Cricetulus griseus: one gene and its partners. The protein of the gene in region 1 interacts with the protein of each later gene in a pairwise test. Links are inferred from orthologs where the notes say so. Each region holds a gene or a part of one and is shown in the gene's direction. Other genes may lie near its edges.

Region 1 (5,251 bases):
AAATGGCCCAGTGTAGAGGTACTAGCCACCAAACTTGACAATCTGAGTTCCACCCCTGGGATCCAAACAGTAGGAAAGAACCAACTCCCCCGGGTTGTTCCCTGACCTCCACACTTGCACCACAAATACTAACATGCATACACACACACACACACATAAAATAAATAAAATGTAAAAATATATATAAGGAGGAGCTGAATATGGTGATGCATGCCTGTAATCCTGGCACTTGGGAGGTAGATGAAAGAGGGTCAGGATTCTCCAGCTAGTCTCAGGACAGAATTCAAAGTCCAGCCTCTACAAGAGTAGGATGGGATTTTCAAAACACTGTATGTGCATGCATGCATTTACACATAGGGGCCGAGGGTTAGAGTTGCATGGTAGAGCACTTGCCTAGCACAAGAAAGGCCCATTAGTTCCCAGTACTAAGACAAATAAATGGTTAAATGAATAAAAAGTTAATAAGGATGTAAAGAAATTTCTACAAGCCAGGCGGTGGTGGCTCACACCTTTAGTCCCAGCACTCGGGAGGCAGAGGCAGGCAAATCTCTGTGAGTTCAAGACCAGCCTGGTCAACAAGAGCTAGTTCCAGGACAGCCTCCAAAGCCACACAGAAACCCTGTCTCAAAAAAACAAAACAAAAAAACCCAAAAACCAAAAAAAGAAAAAAGAAAAAGAAAGAAATTTCTACAGCATATAGTATATTTTTGTAAATTTGAAATTAAAAACAAACTTTAAAAAACCAAATTGCTAATCTCAGCTCTACCACCTACTAAGGTTGTAATCTTAGATAAACGGCATAAAACTTTTATGAAATATAAACTTTTGCTTTTTTGGCTTTTTCAAGACAAGGTTTCCCTGTGTAGCCCTAGTAGTCCTGGAATTTGCCTCATGCTCACAGAGATCCGCCTGCTTCTGTCTCCTGAGTGCTGGGATTAAAGGCCTGAAGTTACTACACCCTTCTTTTTTTCTTTTTTCTTTCTTTCTTTCTTTTTTTTTTTTTAAGTTCTGCTGGTCTAGCACCTTTGGCCTGCTCCACCACGCCCCCGCATTTTAACTCTTCCCACCCTCCAATACCACCCCCCTGAGCCAGGGTCTCTGGTAACTAGACTACTCTTGTGTACTAATTTGAATTTGTGCTTCCACCCAGTGTGATTATAGGTGTGTAGTACGAAATCCGGTTTTAGGCAGTAAGGGGCTTCGAACTCCGGAAAGAAGCGCTCTACCAGCTGCGCCACATCCACAGGTGGAGGAAAGCCTAGTGATTGCGAGCGGGCGAGCGGGCGAGCGGCATCCACAGGTGGAGGAAAGCCTAGTGATTGCGAGCGGGCGAGCGGGCGGGCGAGCGCAGGGTGGATCCTGAGGCAGGCAATGGGAGAGACTGGAGGGGCGCTCCACACCTGACCGCTCCCACCCACTCAATTGCCGGGGGTGTTTGAGGAAGCACCTTCCATGCAGACAGGCAGGCGAGTCTCCGCCTCTCGCACCCTGCGGCCTGGCGTCCTCTATCCTTTAAAGTGGACCCCAAACTCCAGGACCCGGACTTCTGGGCCAGCCTCCATGGCCAGGTCCCGGGCTTGCTGGACTGGGACATGGGCAACGAGTGTTTCTTGTCGTTCACCACGTCGTATCTGCCCCTGTCCACGCAGAAACGTGAGTGGGGCTGTGGGGGAGGGGCTCGTGGGTGGCGGCATGGAGTGTGGTGGCTTCCCAGGCTCACCACCTCCCTGGGCTCCGAGTCTCGCCCCACGCAGGAGTGGGAGTAGCCCTTCCTGCAACTGAGTCCCCAGAACCCTCTTACACACCCAGAACATTTCTAGGCCTCTTCTGAGCTTTGGTGCTTGGAGCATCAGAACTTGGCATACGGAAGGCTTTATATTTCGGTGTAAAACAATCAGTTTTCTTTAGGGAAATATCAGTTGCCTCTATTTGCTTCGTTGTTGCTGTTTATGTTTTTGTTTGGAAGCCCTTGCTAGCCTCAAGTCTTAATTGTTGACCTACCTCCTGCCGCTCTAGGAGTGGGCCACCACCCCAGGCTGTTAGCCCACCCCTACTGGTGTTGTCCAAATGGATTTAATATTGCGGAAGGGAGGGGGGCAGTATGTTCTCCCTAAATTTTTCCTCCTCCTTGGAACTTAAGTTCAATTGTTTGAGGTGATTACTCTTGCATTCAAAGTGCTTTTTTTTTTTTTTTTTTTTTTTTTGCCTCGCTGGCTAGATGTTTGGGTTCACACTCCTTTTTCCCCTTTGGTCACATCCATCAGCTCCACCTCCGTATGTTAATTTCATATAGGTCTAAGCTGACACAGGTGTGGTTGAGCCCAGGCCAGCCTGAAGGTGTCTTGTGCGTTTCTGGGAAGATTTTGCCTTTTGTTTAGAGACAGGGTGTCACCGTGTATGTAGCCTTGTCTGAGTCCGGAACTCTAGATCGGGCTGGGGTCCCTGATTCGGTTTTACTTATACAAGTAGGAAAGTCAGGCCCTGAGGAGAGGGGTGGATTAGTGACACAAATTTTGAGATTTTGGTATATGGTTGGAATTTAAGGAGTAAGAATAATTGGACCAAGGCTGAGCCCTTGAGGCATTCCAGTGGAGAGACTGAGGAAGAAGAGATAACCACCCCTCAGAAGATAACCAAGAGCCAAAACAGTGGTGCTGTGGTGTACAGGAACTCTGGTGATAAAACGTTTCAAGAATTGAGATTGGGAGATAGAGGTGGGAGGTTCCTGAGCTCAAGGTTATCCTTGGCTCCTCCAGAAGTTCCAGGGCTGCTTGGCCTAGAGATCAGCACTACCCCTTCCAAAAAAAAAAAAAAAAAAAAAAAATGGAGGAATAGAGGTGGTCAACACAGGGTAATGGGGTAAATCAGAGAGAGAGAGAGAATGAGAGAATATAATAAATTTGTTGGTTTGAGAGAGGGTCCTGCTATATTAACCTACGCTAGTCTCCAATTTAAGATCCTCTCAGCCTTCCTAGCTGGGATTAAAGGTGTAAACCATTAGTCACAGCTTCCCATTGTCTTTTACAATTAACACATGCAAATCAAAAGTTTAAAGAGCTAGGCATGGTCCTGCACACCTTTAATCCCAGCATTTGGGAGGCCAAGGCAGGCAGATCTCTGAGAGTTTAATGCCAGTCTGGTCTATATAGTAAATTACAGGACAGCTGGGGCAAGAAAAGAAAAGGGAGGGGGGGGGAGGGAGGGAAAGGGAAAGGAAAGAAAAAAGTTGGCTGTGGTAGCACACCTGTGGATGCCGAGGTAAGAAAATCTTAAATTCCAGACCATCTCGGCTGCAAAATAGAACCCTGTCTCAAAAGAATGGGTGGGGGTTAACCGGAGTTTAATTTTTGGAACTCAGGTAAGAAAGTGGTCTTGATCCACTCACACACAGTACACAAATGGTTTTGGTTTTTGTTTTTTTTTTTTTTTTTTTTTTTTTTTTTTTTTTTGAGACAGGGTTTCTCTGTGGCTTTGGAGGCTGTCCTGGAACTAGCTCTTGTAGACCAGGCTGGTCTCAAATTCACAGAGATCTCCCAAATGCTGGGACTAAAGGCGTGCGCCACCACTGCCCTACTGTTTTTTGTTTTTTTGTTTTTTTTTTTTTTTGAAAATCACTAAATTACATTTTCCATTTACAAAGCTTCTTCCCTTTTTGTGTGTTTGTGTTTTTTGTTTTGGGGGGCTTTTTTTGTTTTGGTTTTTGAGACAGGGTTTCTCTGTGGCTTTGGAGGCTGTCCTGGAACTAGCTCTTGTAGGCCAGGTGTCTCAAGCCCTTACCAAGTTTTGACCTGGGAGGAATGACAGACTCAGCGAGTTGGTTTTGAGTATGTAAGCTTTACTTCACACATATGTCAAAGTAATACAGAAGCATATGCAAACAATCCTAAGAACCACAGACAATATACTCACAGCAGGGGTACCTCTCCTGCAGAGGCTCAAAGGTTCCGGCTCTTGACTTCTGTTCTTCTGAATTAAGGCTGTGGAGTCTCGAGGGCCCAGTGTCGGGTTTCAGAAAGGGCGGCACTCAGCTTGATGGACTGGTTGTTTCAGGTTAGCGGAGGAGAGCTCCAGGACATAGAGTCGTGTGGTACACTCAAAAGTTCCCAGTTCTGAGCTGGTCCTTAAATAGTTTGCTGAATCTTGCTAATCACACTTTGCCACACACCACACATTCTCGATCTTATCTACAATGGCCGGTAGTGACTCCCTTTCTTTTAATCTCCCTCCAGCCAGGCCTTTGCCTGCCTGGTTACAAGCTCCTTACACCAGGCTAGTCTCGAACTCACAGAAAACTGCCTGCCTCTGCCTTCCAAGTGCTGGGACTAAAGGGGTGTGCCACCACCGCCCGGTTGGTGTGTGTTGATTTTTTAAATTTTTATTTATTTACTTTGTTTATTTTTGGTTTTGTAGGGTTTTTTTTGTTTTTGTTTTTTGTTTTTTTTCTGAGACAGAGTTTCTCTGTGTAGCTTTGGAGCCTATCCTGGCACTCGATCTGGAGACCAGGCTGGCCTCGAACTCACAGAGATCCGCCTGCCTCTGCCTCCCAAGTGCTGGGATTAAAGGCGCGCGCCACCAACGCCCGGCTTGTAGTTGTTTTTTGAATCAGGGTTTCTCTAGCTTTGGATCCTATCCTGGAACTTGCTCTGTAGATCAGGCGGCCTTGAACTCATAGAGATTCATCTGTCTCTTCCTCCAGAGTGCTAGGATTACAGGCGTACATCACCACTGCCTGGCAAGTTTTGTTTTTTATACAGTGTCTCTCTATAGCTCTGACTATCCTGGAACTCCCTATGTAGACCAGGCTGGCCTGGAACTCAGAGATTCTTCTGCCTCTGTCTCCCAAGTGCTGAGATTAAAGGTGTGCGCCACCATCCCTGACTATTGTAATTGTTATAAATATAGCCTATAGATTGAATTTAGCTCCAAGTGCCCTGAGCTATCTTTGCAACCAAGAAATTTATTTTGGGGTATTATTTTTATATGCAGAGATTGTAAGTCACCATCTATAAATCCAGGGCTCTCAAATCTCCCTACAGACCAGAACTCCATATGAATTAAACTGTAATTCACAGTTTAATAAGGTAGGGATGTATAATTAATGATGCTTGTAGGCAGGGCTAGGTGATAGGTTTTGTTCTGAACATTACCTGAGAAGCTATCTTGCCAGCCCAAGAAAATATAATTTAATTTTAGATATGTTAAGCTTAAAGTTGGCCATAGTAGTGTATGTCTGTAATCTCGGGAGGCCGAG
Region 2 (5,307 bases), about 13 Mb from region 1:
GGCTCAGTTGAAGCTGCAAGCACAATGTTCTGAGCAGGATTCCTGGTTGACAGGGAGGGAAGGAGGATTCTTCCTTTAGTTTTTTGATTAGTGAGTGTGGCCCCTCCCTCTTCTTCCATTCTCTTGAGAACTAACTACAGGACTTGGTTCCTGGCCTTTTCTTAGTTCTGTTGGAACCCTCTCCCCTTCACGACTGATCTCAGTCCCCAGGACTGTCTCTTCCAAGCAGTGGGTGGACATTGCCTGGTTGAGGATCTGGTTGTGTGAGGCCTGAGGTAGGTAGGCCATGCCAAGGAGCAGCTGCCTGTTTCTCACCTCCTTCCAACAGAAACTCACCTGGACTAGGTAGACTGGAGAGCCAGACCCCACTTAGCCATTCCAGGCTGCTTTATCTTGGGACCTAAGACCTGGTTTCAGGTCTCCTTGAGCTTTGATTTTCAGCTTCTTCCTTGTAAGAGAAGCCAAGAGTCTCTGAAAAGTTCCCTTCCTAATGACCCCTTAGGCTTAGTTGATTCTCTCCCCTACTGTTTTCCCTCTGGAGAGCAGTTGTCACATGCCCTGGTACCCTACAGAGACCCAGGGCTACGCCCTCCCTCTTCTTCCCTTCTCCTGACCCCAGACTTCTTTTTCCCTTCTCTTGGTCCTCTGGAAGTTCCGCGAGGGCTGTGATCCAGCTGCCAGCCTAGCATCCACGATCTGTTGGATGTTACCTCCAATTTCCTGTCCTACTGCCCTTTCCTCTTTCCTGGCTCAGACCTATTGGCCATGCCTGGCGCTGCCCTTGGGAAAGCCTGTTACCAGTGTCTGGCCCAGCTGCTCAGGCCCTGGAATGCTGCATCTCCAGGCAACTATGCACTTTCATGAGGAGGGAACCAGGATGAGAAAGGGGGCTGGGCACAGATGGTTTAATTTGGGGGTGGGAGGAGGGCCCAGTTGGTTCTGGGGATCCTCCTGTCTGTTGCCAGCCAGTGACCTGCTTTTGCATTCTCCTGGTGCCCACTGCCCCTTGTTTCTGAGAGACACACATTATTCCCTAGCTGGCAGTTGACCTGCCTGAGCCAATGTGTCTATCTGTGGTAACTGGATGAACCATAATAAAAGGGATCATTTGACCCTGTCTATTCTGTGTTGCTTGTCTTCATGTGGGTCTTAATGAAGTCTTGATATGGGATGTGAGGCAGGGGTGTAGGGCTGGGTTGAGTGGATCTGTGGCCTGGAATTCTGTGATCATTTCCCTAAAGCAGCCTTGAGTAGGCCATGAAGTACATGCCACAACTACCAGTTAAGAAGAAGAAATAAAGTGCTCTGCTGGCAATGGTAGGACTGGAACACAGGCCCTTCCTCAGCTCCCCTGGGGGATCACCTGAAGCTAATTCAGCAGCCTCCATGCACACAAGTTCTTGAGACCTGTGGTTGCTCCAGCGTGATGAAAACTATTCCAATATGCCGAGTCTTTGCCAAGTGTACTCACTAGGAATGCTGTCTAGATCCTCTGTGCTGGTCACTCCTCAAGATACCTTTCAAGTAACCGTGGGTGCCGTAGCGCGCTCCTTTAATCCCATTATGGCAGAGGCAGGTAGATGTCTGAGTTCCAGACCAGCCAGGGTTAAAAAGAAAAAAATTTTTTTTCCAAGTGACCCCTTCAATGACAAGGCTTTCCTGCTTAGGATTGTGGCTTAGGTCCTGCAGCTTCCTCATTCTTAGCCTCTAATTTTCTGTACTCCTGTTTGTCTCAAGAGCCGAACTGCCTTTTAGAACAGGCGCAGTAAATAGAATTAAGTGCCAGAGTTCTGAACAGGTGCGCGGGGTAATTGGCAAATCACACAACTATGTAGGTCCTGGAGCGAGCTCCGGTGACTACAACTCCCAGAAGGCAGAGTAGACTACGGCTCCCAGAAGGCCATGCGTTCACGTAGCTCTCTCGCGTGCCCTTTAGACTCGGAGGGTAAGGGCGCCTAGATACCGCGATACTTGGGGCGGCTGGCGCGGGTGAGCGGTGGAAGGGGCTGGGAAGTGTTGTCCCGGGGATCGGCGTGGTGTGGCGGTGGGAGAAGCTCCTCAGGCTGTGGGTCCGAGCGAGGGTGGATGTGCGATTATGTGTGTGATGTGGGGCCACCGGCGTGCTCTCGCGCTCAGGGTTGGGGGACAGCAGCCGCACCTGCGCCCGCTGACCTGCGCTATCCTTGAAAGAGGCGCAGCCAGGACACCCACACTCGACGCTTACCTTTGAAAACTGCAGCGTAGGCTGCGTCCTAAGAGATCCAGGAGCGTCCCGATGTGAAAACGGTCTTAAAGTTACATTTATTTTGGATGGGGTGCTGTCACGGCATGCGTGTGGAGATCATACAACTTGTGAGATTCAGTTCCACCGTGTGAGGCTGCAAGCCACCTTACTGAGCCAACTTGCCTCAAGCTATTTTAAATGAATAAACTAGAGAAAGAAAAACCCTGGGAGTGTTTAGTTGCTTAATCCCTAAACGTGCGGAGCGGCATTTAAAAAGTAGAGTGAGGTCAGTTTTTTTTTTTTTTTTTTTTGTCTGAAAAAATTTCCTGATCAAATATTGGAAGCCAGAACTAGCTAATGGGCAGGAGAGAGCCTCGGGAAGTGGTGGGTGCTTGGGAACTGGGGGTTTTGCTCCGAGATGTGTCCTCAGGAGGTACCCAAATGAACTGTAGGAGCTTTGTGCCCAGCGTTTTGAATGAGAACGAGCGTTCCTTGCTTTTCCTAACACCTTAAAAGGGGTTTAGGTGCCGGGCGGTATGGGTTTTGGTGTAGGGTGGTTACATTTTTCTGGCTACATCCTTGCCCATTTTGTTACTGGCAGATATCCATGAAACTGAAACTTCAGTTTGACCTTGATTAAACAGAAGATTGATAAGGCACACGCTGAGGCCCTTTTCTCGGTGTGTGTGTGTGTGTGTGTGTGTGTGTTCTCACTGTCTTAAATTCTCTTTCTCTTTTACTTTTTTTTCCCTTTCCCTTCATGACAGGGTCTCTCAGTGTATCCCCGGCTAGCCCAGAACTCACTGTGTAGACCACACTAATCTTGAATTCATGGAAAACTGCCTACTTGTTCACCTGTGCTGGGATTAAAGGCATGTGCCATCACACCCCACTTTTTCTTACACATAAGAGTAAGTTTAAGTTCTGTGGTTATAATACAAGTCAAATAAGAATAGGAAAAACGCGTTTTCTGCACATGCTGCTTTAAGACTGGTCTAGCAATAAGCTGTAGACCTCACATTGGGAATATAGGCGTCTTCCTGTACCTGCACTTCAGTCTGTGAGGAGTGGAAAGAAAAATTAACCCTGAGTTCAAGGATAGCCACGAGAAACTCAAGTTTGACTCCGGAGGTTTAAAGGGAACACTGAATCATATGATAAAACAAGCTTGTCTTTTGAGTCTTTTTCCCGGGAGGTCAGTAGTGGTGGGAGAGAATTAGATATTACAATGTTCAGCTCCTGGACATGCCTGGACAAGCATGATGTAGAGGTCAGGGAACACAGACATGTACTGACTTGTCTGTTCAAACCAGTGAGCTCCATGTATAGGGAGGAGAGCTAGCTGTCCTGACTGCTGGAGAACCTGTGCTGCAGAGCATCAGGAGGTGCAGCATCCACCAGCTAGGAAGAAACACAATTGTGAGCCATTTTAAAGTGTAGAAAACAGCTTCTCTCTTATTGCTGTGGTTTGGAGGTTAGGTTTATTATGAAAGCAAAGGGTCCTCCCATCTTTCTGAAGGATGGAGAAAGTGCAGTGTCCTGGCTGTGGTTCTCCTACATGGCTCGGTGCCCCTGTCCCCCGAGCTCAGGAGGAATCATGACTTTTCAGTCACGGCCTGCTGCCTGCTTGTCCACTCTCCTGGACTGCTCACAGTTCCTGTTAGTGGCAGGGGTAGGGAATCGAGGTGCTGCCTATAGTCACCCTGACTGTCAATAAATGAAAATTCCAAAAATCTTTAATAGGATCTGGGTGGAGGAAGAGACTGAATTGGCTTGGAATTTGATCTTGGAGAGCAAACTCTGACCAGCTCTCACTTCCCCTGGGACTCTCAGGTTGAACATATTTGACCTCGATTCCAAATATTGGTTAAATAATCTAGTTTCTATTCTTCAACTATAAATCAGTCTCCCTCTTTCCCCAACCTTCCCCCCCCCCCAGAAGAATGGCTTTGGTCCTGAGCAAAACTTGGTTACAGATCAAGCATCGTATCTTGGGTTGGAATAAGCAGCGCAGAGTCCTGCCTCCAGTTTGATTGACAGCTTTCTGTAACATGACCCGTGGGAATTTTATCTTCTTGAGGTTCAGGGACTGCAGGGATGAAGCTGTGCTTCTGTTTTGCAGGACTCTCCCTGTTTTGCACCATTTGACTGAAGTAGGACAGGGTCAAGGTTTGAGGACTGACAGGTAAGTTTTGCTGGAGAATCAAGAATATGTTTCTCAGGGAACTGGAGAGATGGTTCAGTGGTTAAGAGCATGTGCTGCTCTTGTAGGGGAGCCGAGTTCCATTCCTATTACCTGTGCACACCCGTGCCGGGCAGCTCACAACTGCCCCAAGCTCCAACTCAAAGGTGATGGGATGCCTTTGGCCTCAGAGCATCTGCACTCAAGTGCACATGGTCACCTGCAGGCACATAATTAAAAATAAAATAATTAAACAACAAAAACCAAAACGCATCTCTCACCTACTAGTGATGTCATTTGGGAAAGTGGCTAGTAGGTCCCATGGACTTTGTCAGTTGTCAACAGTGCTCCCCAGACTTTCTGGTGGACTCATTTCTGTAACAAGGACAAGCCTGGTCCTGGTTGAGGCTCCAAATTACAGAAAAGATTTAAAGTGTTGGCAGCAGGGGCTGGGGCTGGGGGTGGAGGTAGAGAAAAGTCTCCGTGATTAAGAGAGCACATACTTCTCTTGCAGAGGACCTGGGTTCCATTCCCTAGACCCACATGGCAGCTCATAACCATCTGTAACTCCAGTTCCAGGGGATCTGACACCCTTTTCTGGCCTCTGTGCGCACTGTACACAACTGATGCATAGACAAGCAGTCAAAACACCTATACGCATAAACAGTCAATATATAAGTAAAGTAAATCTTTAAAGAGCGCTGGCAAGTTGAACTTTAGGGGAACCAGTCTGTGCTTAATCCCTTTGAGATGGGGTAGCCATCGTCCCCTCAGCTCTTACGAATCTATGTCTAAATGTTACAGGCAAATGCCAGAGGCTCCTGTGGGTACCCAGGCATGGAGGGAGCTGGAGTTACTGGGTTCTCCTTCCATAGTGGTCTTGATCTTTTGGAGTACATCT
Region 3 (5,400 bases), on another chromosome or scaffold:
GGGAGAAAAGGAAAGGACCGTGTAGGCTAAGGACTTTATTGAAGTTCTGGGTATGATCCATGCAGCCCTCCTGTGGTTCCTTGACTTTAATTTTTTTTTTTTTTAATTTTTCGAGACTGTTTTTCTGTGTAGCTTTGTAGACCAGGCTGGCTCCAGAGTCACAGAGATCCGACTTCCTCTGTCTCCTGGGTGCTGGGATTAAAGGCATGTGCCACCACCCACGGTTGGTTGCTCCTTGACCTTTTCGCTAAGACCAAGTGCAAACAAATTTCATGAGGTAGTTTGAGCAAACAGGTAGTTCCAGGAGGGGTTACACATGACTGTGGGGGTGGTCCATTGTCCATGTGACATATCTGCCCTGTGTGCTAGGGTGGCCTCCATCAAGTAGGCTTTGTCATGCAGTCCCAGGGGCCCCGAGGAAACCAGAAGTTATACAAGAAAGAGACTCACCACACAGAGGCGCTGCCGCGGTGATGGCTCCTGCTCCCAGGAGAGAAACTGACTTTTCAACACATCCCACCCCCACCCTCAACACCCACCCCGCCGCTGCTGCAAGAAATGACTGTCCTGGAACTTGCTATGCAGTCTAGGCTGCCAACTTGCTTTCTACATGGTTGCGAGGCAACTTTAAATTGTAAGACTTCACACAGACGCCCAAAGCCTGCCCTCCTGGCTCCAGCTGCCACCTTCAGCAATTTCTCAGCCTCTTTGGACTTCATCCTCGTCTCTGTAAATGATAGGTCTCATTTTAACAGCACAATTCCAGGTTGAAGTCTTCAAGACACTTGTGAGGCAAAAGTAGCCCAGGACCAGCCCCTAGACAGAGAGGGCAGTGGTTTAGATGGGCTGTTAACTCAGTAGGGTCGCCTAAGGTCACCCAGCTGGTGGCTGCACCGTGTCCTGACTTTACTATCGGCATAGAGGAGGGGGCAGGAAAGTTAAGGAAAAGTATTTTCTTTCTAGGTGAAAATAGCTCCCGGATCCTGGTTTGGAGGATTGCTCACTGTGAACAAGGGGAAGGAACAAGTCCGGAAGGAACAAGCCCCGAGAAGAACGTGAATGAGACGAAGTGCAGAGACAGCCACTAGTGGCATTTCTGGGAACAAGCGCCTATCGATGCCGCAGGAGCTCCTATTCCAGGATACATAAGCAAGTCATATATAATTTCTGTCACCGCGACAGTGTCCGCGCCACATGCTTGCAACGACGTCACTAAACAAGCCCGGAACTTCCCAGACCGATCCACGGCGCGGAGTAGGTAGGACCGATTTGGAAGCGCACAGTTTGTCTGAGCTGCTGTCACTACAAGTCCCAGCAGCCCCCAGGGCAGGGAAGGGACGCAGCTGCCAGAATCCGGATGAACTACAAATCCCAGCAGGCAAATCACAACCGTGGAGACTACCAGTCCCAGAATGCATCGCGCCACACACAACATACCCTGGGATTTGTAGTCATCCGGGCAGCGTTAGCCTCTATTCACTCCCCTTCAGAAAGGACGTACATTTCTCAGATTGCCCTCGAGAGGATTTACCACTTTAGCAAAAAGCACGGACGTGAGGTGGGAAGTAAGGGCCTCGGGAGTCAACTTTCGGGGCACGGGAGGACAACTGCGCATGTTCGCCGGAGTCCGTCGGCAAAAGCGCGCGCCAGAGGCGCCCAGAGCAGGCTCCACCCCCTGTCGGCTTGGCTCCTCCCTCGAGCCCCGAGCCCAGGGAGCCTGCGCTGAGGGCGGGGCGCAGGGCGCGGGGAGGTGCTCGCAGCGCCTGCGCAGAGCGGCTGCTTCTCTCGCGAGGACGGACGCCATTATCGCATCTCCCCGACAAACACCACGAGAATTCCGCAGCCCACACGGTAATTGCAGCTCCCGCAGCCGGTCGCGCCTCCACTCCCCCTTCCCGCGGGGCGAGAGCGAGAGCGAGAGCGAGATCTCCGTCCGCCCCCGCCCCGCCCCGCCGCCAACGGTCGCCAACGGCCACGGGCCGCACGCCTGGCTGGGCGGGGGCCAGCGGGCCGAGGAATGTCCGTGCGGCGCCTCCGCGCCTCCACCCGCCCGGGCTGTGGGCTCCGGGCTGGGAGTGCGGGGCGGCGGGGAACGAGCGGGCGAGGCCCGGCGGCCGAGCTCACGTTCGGCTCCGGAGCCTCGGCGCCGCCCAGACCCGCGCCCGGCGGCCCTGTCACGTCCTCGGCGCGCGGACGCGGGCTCCCGCGCTCAGCCACCCCAGTCTGTCGAAGCAGAGCCTTGCGCGGTGCTCCCGGGCCCTGCGCACCGCCCTGCCGCCTCAGGTGGCCCCATCTCTCGGTAGTTCTTGGCTCTCTGCCCCGGTAGGGTGGCTTCGCCCTCGCTGGTGCATCCGCCTCTGCTCTCCGCTCTGTTGACATCGGGGCTGATAGTGGAGCTCTCTTCCCCACCTAGCGTCTCGTCCCTGTCCCGCACAGCCTTGCCTTTTTCCTGTTGTTTATAGTGACCTTTGTTTTTCTGCTCCTGGTGACATTGTAACTTCTCGAGGATAGTGTTAAATCTTCGGTCTTCCTCCACCTCCGCTTTGTGTTTTTCTAATCTGGGTCAGTGACTCTTAAGGCCCGCTCAGGTAGGTCCCGATGTCCTCCCTGCACGCCTGGTTAGTTCAGGACACGGTGTTTCAGTCTTAGCTTTCTTCAGTCCACAGGAGGCTCTGCCAAGTACTTCCGTTCTGGTAACTCTTTCCTCCTCGGACGATTTTAAGGTGGTCTTGGTATTAGAGTATCTTTTACAGTTCACAGGTAGGCTGAGGCTTGTGTCCTTGAGCCTGGGAAATTCTCTTGAGTCATTAGAGAACTTACCCCCCCCCCCCGATTTTATTCGTTTAGGGATTCCTGTCATGTGTAACACACATTTTGGGTAGAACCCTTGAATCTCTTCATCTTTCTAATCCCTTTTATTCTCATTCCAGGAGAGAGCGTCAGTTTATCTTTCTGCCTCCACCCTTTTATTTATTTATTTTTTGCTGGGTACAGTGTTGCAGGGTTTTAATTCCAGCACTTAGGAGATAGAGGCAAGTGATTCTTTGTGACTTTGAGGCCCACCTGGGCGACATAGGTCCTATGGGGGGGAGGAATCCATAGTACAAATTGTAGTTTGTAAGTGTATTTGTCATTTTCCTTTTGTCCAGTAGTCTGTCTCATGAATACATTTTTCTTCTTCAGGCTAAGGAAACTGTATTAGAGGTTCTTTTCAGTTTTCTTTTATCTGATTTCTTGTTTAACACCACTCTTTTGGGTGGTGGTGTGGTGAATGTTAGCTTGCTTTGCATGGTAGGTCTTCCTCCAATATTTATATTGTTATTACCTAAGCCTTAGGCCCTAAGGCAAGAGGAAACTGGCAGAAGTCCCTGGATCTGTGGAGAGGGTTTTTAAAATGGTTTCCCCTCTAATGACTTGGTGAGCTTGTTACCTTAAGACCCAGAAGACTTGTTGCAGACACCTTTTATCTGTGCTGTTGTCTCTCTTTAGGGTCTCCGTTTGCTTGGAAGATACTTTTTTTTTTTTTTTATGGTTTTTTTGAGACAAGGTTTCTCTGTGTAGCTTTGGAGCCTATCCTGGCACTTGCTCTGGAGAGCTGGCTGGCCTCGAACTCGCAGAGATCTGCCTGCCTCTGCCTCCCCAGTGCTGGGATTAAAGGTGTGCACCACTACCTCCCGGCTGCTTGGAAGATGTTCTATTTGTCTCTGAGGTGGCTGTAGAGACTTCTGAGGCCCTGGTGAGGCCTAGAGCCCCACTCCTGTGTGCCACATGCCCGCTGTTTCTTTTATCTAGCTTAGACCCTCTTAGTCAGAAATTGATGAAGTCTTTTCCTAAGTTTACTATACTTTTTTTGTTTGTTTTTGTTTTTTTGAGACAGGGTTTCTCTGGAACTCTGTAGACCAAGCTGTCCTCAAACTCATTGAGATCCACCTGCCTCTGCCTCCCAGGTGCTGGGATTAAAGGCGTGCGCCACCACCACCCAGCTTTATTGTATTCTTTATATTAAAATATTTTAATGCAGTAAGTAGAGATTATTTGTAAGGGCACTCACCTTGAACAAGAATTCCAAAACCTATTGTCTTCAGACATTTGTCTCCTTTCTTTTGGTCTTCGAGATGGATGTGTGCCAAAGCATGGTCTCTGGTTGCCTTCAGTTGAATAGATGGTTCTTCTGGCTCTGCTGTATTGGCAGGGCACCAGGATACAGGAGACTGGTCAGACACTGAGCTTAGACACCTCATTTGACTTATTCTGTAGTGGCCACTCAGGTTAGCCACTTCATTTTTTTTTTTTTTTCTTTTTTTGTGTGTGTGTTTCAGTGCGAGCAGCTAAGCTATTCACTGACCCAGAAGTGCACAGTGCAGTGTTTGCCTTACCCACAGCACAGGGATAACAAGGTGATGCATTGGGCTGGCCCACTTGCAAGTTGTGCTTAATGAAATAGGCTACATCCGCCAGAGTCTTGTAGCAGAGTCCACAGGCACCCATGTGCTGATGGGCAATTAGGCCCACCTGCAGATTCAGACTGCAATTAAGAATTTCAGAGAAACTATTAGTGAGCTTTCTCCTCCCCTTCATTTCTTCTGGTGTTGACATCTTACACAAGGAACTATCTACAGAATGGGTCTAAAACAGCAAGGTTACCTAGATTACAGACTTTATACAAGTTCTAGTATTCCACTGACATCTTTCTGTTTGTTTCAGGATCTAATTCAGGAACCCATACCCTATTTAGTTGTCATATCTCCCTCAGTCTGATATTTCCAGCATCCCAAAGTATCCATCAGTCTTGACAGGAAAAAAGTGCTATCTCTGGAAAAAGCCCAGCAGATGCTGTACATCCAAAGCAAATGATTAAGGCTAATGTGGCCTCAATAGAGACACTGATGTCAAACTACCCCAAGAGATAAAACCAATGGCATCTCAGTTCTCTGCTAGAAATGCAATCAGTGTATTTATGAGAAAATGTTAGATGCATATTGGGGGAGGAATGTTTGCTAGAATTCTGACCAGTGCTTCTCTCCAGGCGAGGGACTCAGAATCTGCATATGCTCAGGGCATGTGTGTACACACGGACACTCAGGGTGAAGTGGTTAGTAGGTGCCTGAGAGAAATGGAGGCTCCGGGCACAGATTTCTAGATGAGTTTGCAACAGCAGGTTTTACTAATGCTACTCCATGTAGCTTAGCCTGTATCGTCAGAATCAGCTATGCTATAGAAACCTAAGGTGTACAGTTGAATTCCATGATGCAAAGCCCACTATAAAATCACATATAACAAAGGGTCACCTGGAAAGAAGACGACAGTTGGATGCATTGAGGGCCCCAACAGGAATGTGTCAGGCTTAAGTTATATTTATGGTAAATGTTAGTTTGGCTTCATAAAATCCTTCCCAGGGAA

What was found.
Region 2: the proteins of Foxr1 (region 1) and Ppcdc interact in binary tests that used the Homo sapiens proteins (3 or more experiments, as listed by UniProt). The two-hybrid records come from large-scale screens. The link is inferred for Cricetulus griseus from reciprocal best matches to the Homo sapiens genes FOXR1 and PPCDC.
Region 3: the proteins of Foxr1 (region 1) and Banp interact in binary tests that used the Homo sapiens proteins (3 or more experiments, as listed by UniProt). The two-hybrid records come from large-scale screens. The link is inferred for Cricetulus griseus from reciprocal best matches to the Homo sapiens genes FOXR1 and BANP.

The regions. Positions count from the first base shown.
Region 1 is NC_048597.1:156,123,081-156,128,331, reverse strand, and holds the start of Foxr1 (forkhead box protein R1), read left to right. Parts: upstream 1-1,523; 5' UTR 1,524-1,592; coding exon 1,593-1,653; intron 1,654-5,251. UniProt on the Homo sapiens protein: Transcription factor which acts as both an activator and a repressor.
Region 2 is NC_048597.1:169,064,504-169,069,810, reverse strand, and holds the start of Ppcdc (phosphopantothenoylcysteine decarboxylase), read left to right. Parts: upstream 1-1,893; 5' UTR 1,894-1,989; intron 1,990-1,995; exon of another isoform or gene 1,996-2,510; intron 2,511-2,991; exon of another isoform or gene 2,992-3,135; intron 3,136-4,346; exon of another isoform or gene 4,347-4,409; intron 4,410-5,307. UniProt on the Homo sapiens protein: Catalyzes the decarboxylation of the cysteine moiety of 4-phosphopantothenoylcysteine to form 4'-phosphopantotheine and this reaction forms part of the biosynthesis of coenzyme A.
Region 3 is NC_048596.1:198,593,754-198,599,153, forward strand, and holds the start of Banp (protein BANP), read left to right. Parts: upstream 1-1,973; 5' UTR 1,974-2,017; coding exon 2,018-2,299; intron 2,300-2,304; exon of another isoform or gene 2,305-2,322; intron 2,323-5,400. UniProt on the Homo sapiens protein: Controls V(D)J recombination during T-cell development by repressing T-cell receptor (TCR) beta enhancer function. Binds to scaffold/matrix attachment region beta (S/MARbeta), an ATC-rich DNA sequence located upstream of the TCR beta enhancer.